2 linked regions of the Macaca fascicularis genome follow. The protein of the gene in region 2 interacts with the protein of the main gene of each other region in a biochemical or structural test. Links are inferred from orthologs where the notes say so. Each region holds a gene or a part of one and is shown on either strand. Other genes may lie near its edges.

Evidence for each region.
Region 1: the proteins of PLIN3 (region 2) and M6PR form a complex in vitro, tested with the Homo sapiens proteins (2 studies listed by BioGRID). The link is inferred for Macaca fascicularis from reciprocal best matches to the Homo sapiens genes PLIN3 and M6PR.

Annotation. Positions count from the first base shown.
Region 1 is NC_088385.1:11,995,768-11,999,267, reverse strand, and holds the end of M6PR (cation-dependent mannose-6-phosphate receptor), read right to left. Parts: intron 2,658-3,500; coding exon 2,531-2,657; intron 2,056-2,530; coding exon of another isoform or gene 1,933-2,055; exon of another isoform or gene 1,019-1,932; coding exon 791-1,018; 3' UTR 477-790; downstream 1-476. UniProt on the Homo sapiens protein: Transport of phosphorylated lysosomal enzymes from the Golgi complex and the cell surface to lysosomes.
Region 2 is NC_088393.1:5,639,362-5,643,458, forward strand, and holds the start of PLIN3 (perilipin-3), read right to left. Parts: upstream 2,801-4,097; 5' UTR 2,412-2,800; intron 1-2,411. UniProt on the Homo sapiens protein: Structural component of lipid droplets, which is required for the formation and maintenance of lipid storage droplets. Required for the transport of mannose 6-phosphate receptors (MPR) from endosomes to the trans-Golgi network.

The DNA of each region.
Region 1 (3,500 bases), on a different chromosome or scaffold from region 2:
GTTTTTCTAGCTTGTGTGACACAAGTAGCAAAATCTGGTACGCCCTCTGCCAGTGTAGCTGTGGCTCAGAGTTTTCTCTTTGTTGTCACTTACTCCCTTGTGATTGAATCTTTTCTCCCGGCAGGATCCCCAGCCAGTGTAGAGACTTGATTGGCATCTTTCTTATGCTGCAGGGACTAAAAGTATTTGACTGGGGCATATGTGGCTGCTCATTCTTTCTGCATCCCACTGTTCCCCTCCAATTTGTTATTTTGTACCCTATTTTTCAGTTCCAACTCTGCTCTGTCCTATAGCTGTATAAAACCAGAGTGCGTGGGGCTAAGGTCAGGAGTATAAGTACCTGCCTTAGGCACTATTCCTTATACAACAAAAATATTAAATATTTTTTTCCTCAGTAAAAGGATGAAAATCGGTTTCAGTTGTCTTACTCTATTCCAGTCTTTGCCCACGTTCACACAAATGACTAGGCCAATATGTTTTGTTTGTTTTTTTAATCATTACGAGTTTTTGTACAAAAAGTGATGTTTTTTTTTCTTCATTTTAAAACACCAGGGTGTGGGGGGGGAGGGATGCAAACAAATAACAAAAAAGATGCTTTTGTAACATTATTTTCCCTGTTTAGAAAGAAAAAATCACTCCAATAGTATTGAAAAGTCCAAAGATGAAATAGTTTCATTTTCTTTTCCTAAGGCTTAGAAAAGGCCCCCTGCCTATTGATTCCATTCCTCTTTTGTGTCCAGTGGAGCCATATTACTCTTCAGTGGCCCAGGGGTTCACTATTACAGAAAGATCAGTCCAGGTTTCTGGGCACATGGCCTAAACAGGAACATGGAAGCATCGGAGGATTAAAAACCTTTCCCCACAGAAATGTGGGCAAGAAGACACTTCCCTGAGCCAGCAGAAGGGACAGGTGCAGCAGCATTCCACACCCAGCGCAGAGGACAGCAGAGCCCTCGATGTCCCACTTCTGCTTCCATTCCCTTTCCAGAAGATTGAAAAAAAGGTCAAAACCACATGCCTGTGGAGAAAGTGCGACACGTTTAGAAATACTGGTATAGGGAACCAGGAGTAAGAAAAGCTTTACCAGCTTTTACTACAAATGGAAGAAAGACATCAGGATCCCACCACCGCAAGGTAAAGTGACTTCCCTTTTCTGGAACCCCTGTGGCACAGGAGTTCCAATTTTCCTTTCCAGTGGACTGGATTTCTGGATAGGCATTTTGGCTGTATATGGACAGATAAGACCACAATCCATGGCCCAATCCCAGCTATACAGTTACCCCAATTTCCACAAATGATGTGATGGTACCGTATAATCCTGTAAAGGGAAATTTCACATTTTTCCTGTCCTAATCCCAGAGGTGGGAGAAGCAAGTCTAGAACATCTCCAGGCTCAGACTAAATGAGAGTACTTGGACTGCAACCAAGTAATCACTGCAAAGTAGTTCCAAGCAGCAAGAAATACCAGATTCTCATGGAGACTACTATAGGGTACAGAATAACAACATGAAAGCAATCAAACCTGTATAAATAATGTTTCTTGGCATTTTTTTTTTAATTAAAGAAATCCAGTGTCTCAAAAACTTGTGAAAATGTGTTTAAAAAACAAAGGGCCAGTGAGCCTGCCACACCATTTTGCCCATATGCCTGTTGTACCTTGTGATGTCAAGAGACAATGCAAAAGCCTGTTTTCACAGGCCCTATTAATATTAAGTCTGACTTACAACTGTACCTCGCTAGAGAAAAAACAGAAAATAAGGAACAAAGGGAAGGCAGTTTTACTAGTGAGAAGATGCAAATCAAAAGCAAACTGGAAAGCAAGAGCAATAGTAAGGGTGAGATGAGAGACTGGAGTTGAGACTGCTTGAGAAATCTGGCTGTGTAGCTTTGGTTTGGGGGACTGAGGAAGAGGCTGGACATATAAAGTGCAATCTACATTGGTAATAAATGGTCATCCCTTTCTTCTGACTCCTCCCCCAGCTGGTCATCCCCCACACCACGATATGCTGCAGGCACATTTCGAGGTTTAGAACGGCAGACAAAGTCACAGCCATCCTGTAGGGGAGAAAAAAAATAATAATAATTTGGAGCATCCAACTTTAGGTTATGAGAAAAATGTACTTATGGTCTAGGAATGTGGCAAGAATTGGTTTTCTACAGGGATAATGAGAAAACCTAAAAGATGTGACAATCAGCCTAAATTCAATTTGGGACAACAGGAGAAAAAGTTTCTTCTTAGGCCTTCCCTTCTTCCCACCCAGGCCCACTTAAAAGCTAAATCAGATTTAGAAGAGCCCACCTGGTCATCAACAGTGTTGCTCTTTCAGCAATTTCTTACCAAGGCCAGAAACGGATGCTATGCCACTTACTACTTTGTACTAGGGCAACCGTCTTGTTTACTGGGACTTTTGTGGTTTTAGCACTCCATGTCCTGTGTCCCAGGAACCCCCTCAGTGTGAGCAGACCAGGATGGTTGGTCACCCAGCCTTGTTTGCAGGCTACAAATTCAACCAGCTGCCCTGTTACTTACTGCTACCAGATTTCCAAGATCCTGCCAGAAGGCTAAGTGAGGAAACTGCTCCATTCCTTTGGCTCCCACCACCAGTCGCTGGTATAGGAACCCCCCAACAACATAAACAGCAACCAGTGACGCAAACCTGTAGAGAAAGAAGTCTATACTTAAGAACTGAGAACTAGTAAAACTCAGGATAACCTCTGTATTTATCGTTAGCTGTTTCCTAAGATACATTCCCTGAAAAGGAAAAATGAGTAGTGACACTAAATGAAAAAGGGGGCTGGTAGCTCTTAGAAAACCAATTAGAGTGCTGTCAGTCCAAGAGAAACAAAGGCCCAAAGTGTGACAGGGTGTGATTCTATGGCCAAGAATAATCACCGTTAAGTATATGATTCCATTTCTCTAAAAGTTCTGATAATCGAATGAAATAATATAAAAATTGCCTAGTCCTCCAGCAGGGGAAAAAAGCACCTCCAAATGCAAATCTATACCGGCAACTAAACATTAAATCTCATTTAAAAAAAACTTGCATAGTCAGTTTTTTTTTTTTTTTTTTGAGATGCAGTTTTGCCCTTGTTGCCCAGGCTGGAGTACAACGGTGCGACCTCAGCTCACGGCAACCTCCACCTCACAGGTTCAAGTGATTCTACTGCCTCAGCCTACCAAGTAGCTGGGATTATAGGCATGTGCCACTGTGCTGGCTAATTTTGTATTTTTAGTAGAGACAGGGTTTCACCATGTAGGTCAGGCTGGTCTCAAACTCCTGACCTTAGGTGATCCACCTGCCTTGGCTTCCCAAAGTGCTGGGATTACAGGTGTGAGCCACTGTGACCTGGCAGAATTATTTTATAGCCAGAGGATTTAAAAAGTCATCCCCATCAATTACAGTATAATATACACATGTACAATTTGTGCTTATGTACCACCATATAGTTACTGATCTTAAAAACAAAAGGAAAGAAGGTCTGTTCTGATAAGGCATACT
Region 2 (4,097 bases):
CACCTCCCAGGTTCAAGCGATTCTCCTGCCCCAGCCTCCCGAGTAGCTGGGATTACAGGCATGCACCACCGCGTCCGGCTAATTTTTTGTAGTTTTAGTAGAGATGGGGTTTCACTATGTTGGTCAGGCTGGTCTTGAGTGCCTGACCTTGTGATCCACCCGCCTCAGCCTCCCAAAGTGCTGGGATTACAGGCGTGAGCCACCGCACTCGGACGTGTTTTTTTTTTGTTTTTTTGTTTTTAGTAGAGATAGGGTTTCGCCATATTGCCCAGGTTGGTCTTGAACTCCTGAGCTCAAGGGATCTGCCCCCCTTGGCCTCCCAAACTGCTAGAATTACAGGCGTGAGCCACCGCACCCAGTCAAAATGCAGGCTTTTTTTTTGAAAGTGAGATAACATGCCTGCCTGCACTGCAGAGCTATGAAGCCCAGGTCAGGGGTATGGGGAGGACGGGGCTCCCCAGGTGAGTCTATGCAAGTGGGATGAAGCCACAACCCCGTTTTCCTGCACAAGTGAGATAAAGCAGGGACACCATCATCAGATGAGGTTCTCAGGGGAAAGCCAGGAGTCCCAGCTCCACCTATGCTGTGCTCCCTGGAGCAAGTCACCTTCCCCTTCTCTGGCCTCGGTCATCTCACCTGTAATATGAGGATAAAGGGTCGGGCACAGGCCTGTAATCCCAGCACTTTGGGAGGCTGAGGCGAGTGGATCACTAGGTCAGGAGTTCGAGACCAGCCTGGCCAACATAGTGAAACCCCATCTCTAAATATACAAAATTACATACAAAATTACGAAAATTAGGCACGGGTATGGTGGCAGGCACCAGCTACTTGGCAGGTACCAGCTACTTCGGAGGCTGAGGCAGGACAATTGCTTGAACCTGGGAGGCAGAGGTTGCAGCGAGGCAAGACCACACCACTGCACTCCAGCATGGGTGACAGAGGAAGACTCCATCTCAAAAAAATATGTGGCTAAAGGTCATGCCTGCCTTATGGGATGCTTTCCCGGGGAATTCTGGTGTGAGCCTAAGAACCTGTGGCCTTGACTCTGAGCATCTTTTCCAGAGGAATGAGGCCCCGCCTCCTGGTGGCCTTGCTTTGATGTCCCCTAAGCAGAACTCAGCAAAATGATGTTTTGGGAGCACTGGATCTGGAGTCCAGATTGGGTTCTCTTTTTGTTTTTGTTTTTTCTTTGAGATGGAGTCTTGCTCTGTCACCCAGGCTGGAGTGCAGTGGCGCAATCTCAACTCACTGCAACCTCCGTCTCCCAGGTTCAAGGGATTCTCCTGCCTCAGCCTCCAGAGTATCTGGGATTACAGGCGCCTGCCACCAGGTCCAGCTAATTTTCATATTTTTAGTAGCGGTGGGGTTTCACCATGTTGACCAGGCTGTTCTCGAACTCCTGACCGCAAATGATCTGCCCACCTCAGCCTCCCAAAGTGCTGGGATTACAGGCGTGAGTCATCGTGCCCAGTCCAGAGTGGGTTCTAATCCCAGTTTGGCAACTCACTAGGAATAGGAGTTTGGGCAGGCAGCATTCCCTAGGAGCCTTGCTTGCCACATCTGTGAAATGGGTATAAGTTTCACAAGAGCCTGGAGTCCCTGTGGACTGGAGGAGACACTGCTCCGGGGAAGCTCAGCTCCATGCCTGGCACATAGTAAGAGCTCCATAAACCATCTCACCGCACTCTGGCTTCCACGGACAAAGGGGTACAGCCAGCCAGGAACCAGCTTCCTGCTAGGTACAAAAAACCCCCAACTGGGAAGTCAGGTGAGAAGATATACCTACCTCCCAGTGATCACTGCCTAAATCTATTCTTCTCACCTCCTTCGGAGCCTGAGCTCACCTGGGCAGGCGGCCAGGTAGGCAGGCATCAAAGTCCTGGCCTCGACAGATTCCCAAGTCCCACTTAGGACTCAGGCAGCTTCCTCCCGTCCCCTCTGTCCACCATGACTTTCTGGAACTGGTTAAAGCAAGGGTGGCCACTGCAGATGTCAACGCCCTATGAAACCCCTGGGGGTCAGTGACCTGCCTTGCCGCTGGCTCCAGAAGGGGAGTTTCAGGCCAGACCCAGTCATCCAGCAACTTCAGGGCATGCTAAGACTGGACTTCAAAAATTCCAAGAGCCCCAGGTCCCACCGCTAGGCCCAGCCGGGACAAGAACCCCAAAGCAGTTAAGGGGTAGGCCTTCCTACTTTCAAGCCATCTCGCCGCCACGCCCACCCGAGGGAAGCGGGCAGGATTCGCCCAAGACCTCCCCAGAAGCAGTTGGGGGCGCCAGGAGCCGGGGCAACCCCCCTTCCAACGCCCGTGGCGAAACCATCTGGAGGGGAGGCGGCTTTACGGTGGCGAGGGGTGTCTCTGAAGACCCCGGAAGGGAGGGCGAAGTTTCTGCCTGCAGGAGGAAACTTACCTGCAAATTGCGTTTCCAAAAGCAAGCAAACTGATCACAATTTAGAGAAAACCGGACGGGGGCGGTATTTAGCCCACCTCCCTCAGTATCTTTCGACCCTCAAAAGTCCCAGGAAGTGAGAAGAGGGTTTCAAAGTTCAAGCTCCGTTGCAGACGTTGGATTTTTCTGGGGGGAGGGGTGACCAGCCTGGGCTGAAGACCCCTCCCCAGGCCGCAGAGTCCAGCAAATCCCACCCCGAGAAAGGCCCTCCCCGACCCCTCCGCCCCTGGGGTGCCCCAGGACTCGGTGGACACCGCCCCCCAGCTCAACTGAGGGACCCCCGCCACTCACCGCGGTCAACTGGACGTCCCAGGCACAATAACTGCGGCTTCCAGACCAGCCTTGAAACCGTCAGGGCCGGGGCGGGGCTGGCTTTTACTGCACGGTGGGTTGGGGGCGCAAGGGAGTGACGGGCGAGAGAACCAATCAGGTTGAGGGAATGCCTGCGCCAGGCCCGCCCCTCTCCTCCCTAGCCCGCCTCCACTAGGCCCCGCCCCTCGCCAAGTCACTTAAGAAGTACGCGAAGGACTACACGCCCTGAAGGGGAGGGGGCACTCCTGGACCACGCCTGTCCCAGTCACGGGACCCCCCGCTCCGCAGCTGGGGACCCTATGAAGTTGGCCCTGGGAGGTGAGTGCGATCGGGGCGCCGCACGGGTGCTGGGATTCCCTAGGTCGCCCATTTCCCCTATGGCCAAACTGAGGCTGCTAGAACCCCAGGAGAGTTGCAGGGTGACCTTCGCCAGCGCGTCAGGCGCCAGGCCCTCCACCATGGGCTGCAACCCAGCTATATATATATACATACACACCCTTTTTTTTTTTCGAGACGCAGTCTCGCTCTGTCATTAAGGCTGGAGTGCAGTGGCATGACCTTGGCTCACTGCAGCCTCCACCTCCTGGGTTCAAGAGATCCTTCTGCCTTAGCCTCCTGAGTAGCTGGGGTTACAGACACGTGCCACCAGGCCTGGCTAATTTTTGTATTTTTGGTAGAGACGGGGTTTCACCATGTTGGCCAGGCTGGTCTCGAACTCCTGACCTCAAGGGATCTGCCCGCCTGGGCCTCCCAACGTGCTGGGATCACAGGTGTGAGCCACCGCACCCGGCCCAACCCAGCTATATGAGCGACTTGAACCACCACAGGGAACTCATCCAGCCTCCAGCCCGACCTGCCCAGCATCAGACCTCCCAACACTATATTGACTTTTTATCATCCCTGTTTTGTGGAGGAGGAAACTGAGGCCTGGAGAGGGTCAGCCAGGGGCAAGGCAGCCGTCAGGTTCCAGGCTCTGTGACTGCTGGATCAACCTCTTCCTGAAGCTGCCTCTGCCTGGATTTTACCCCGCCCCTCTCCACCACCCAAATTCTTTATCTTCTTGGTCTATAAACCAAGGTCTCAATCTCAGATGGCCCTAGGGGACAAGGAGGAGATGAATATTTCTGCTGAGGAGGTGGCAGTGATGCTCTGCTTAGAGGGGCAGGGGAGAGCAGTGTCCTATGGGAGACCCACCTGGGGAGTCACAGATCCACAGGAAGTTCAAGCCGTAGACATGTCCTGCCTGTTAGGGAACAACAGGGGCTGTGTCCAGTCCAGGGGCCACCGGTTTGCCACTTCTGCTAAATTATTTGAATAGAATGAAGCTTCTGGTAG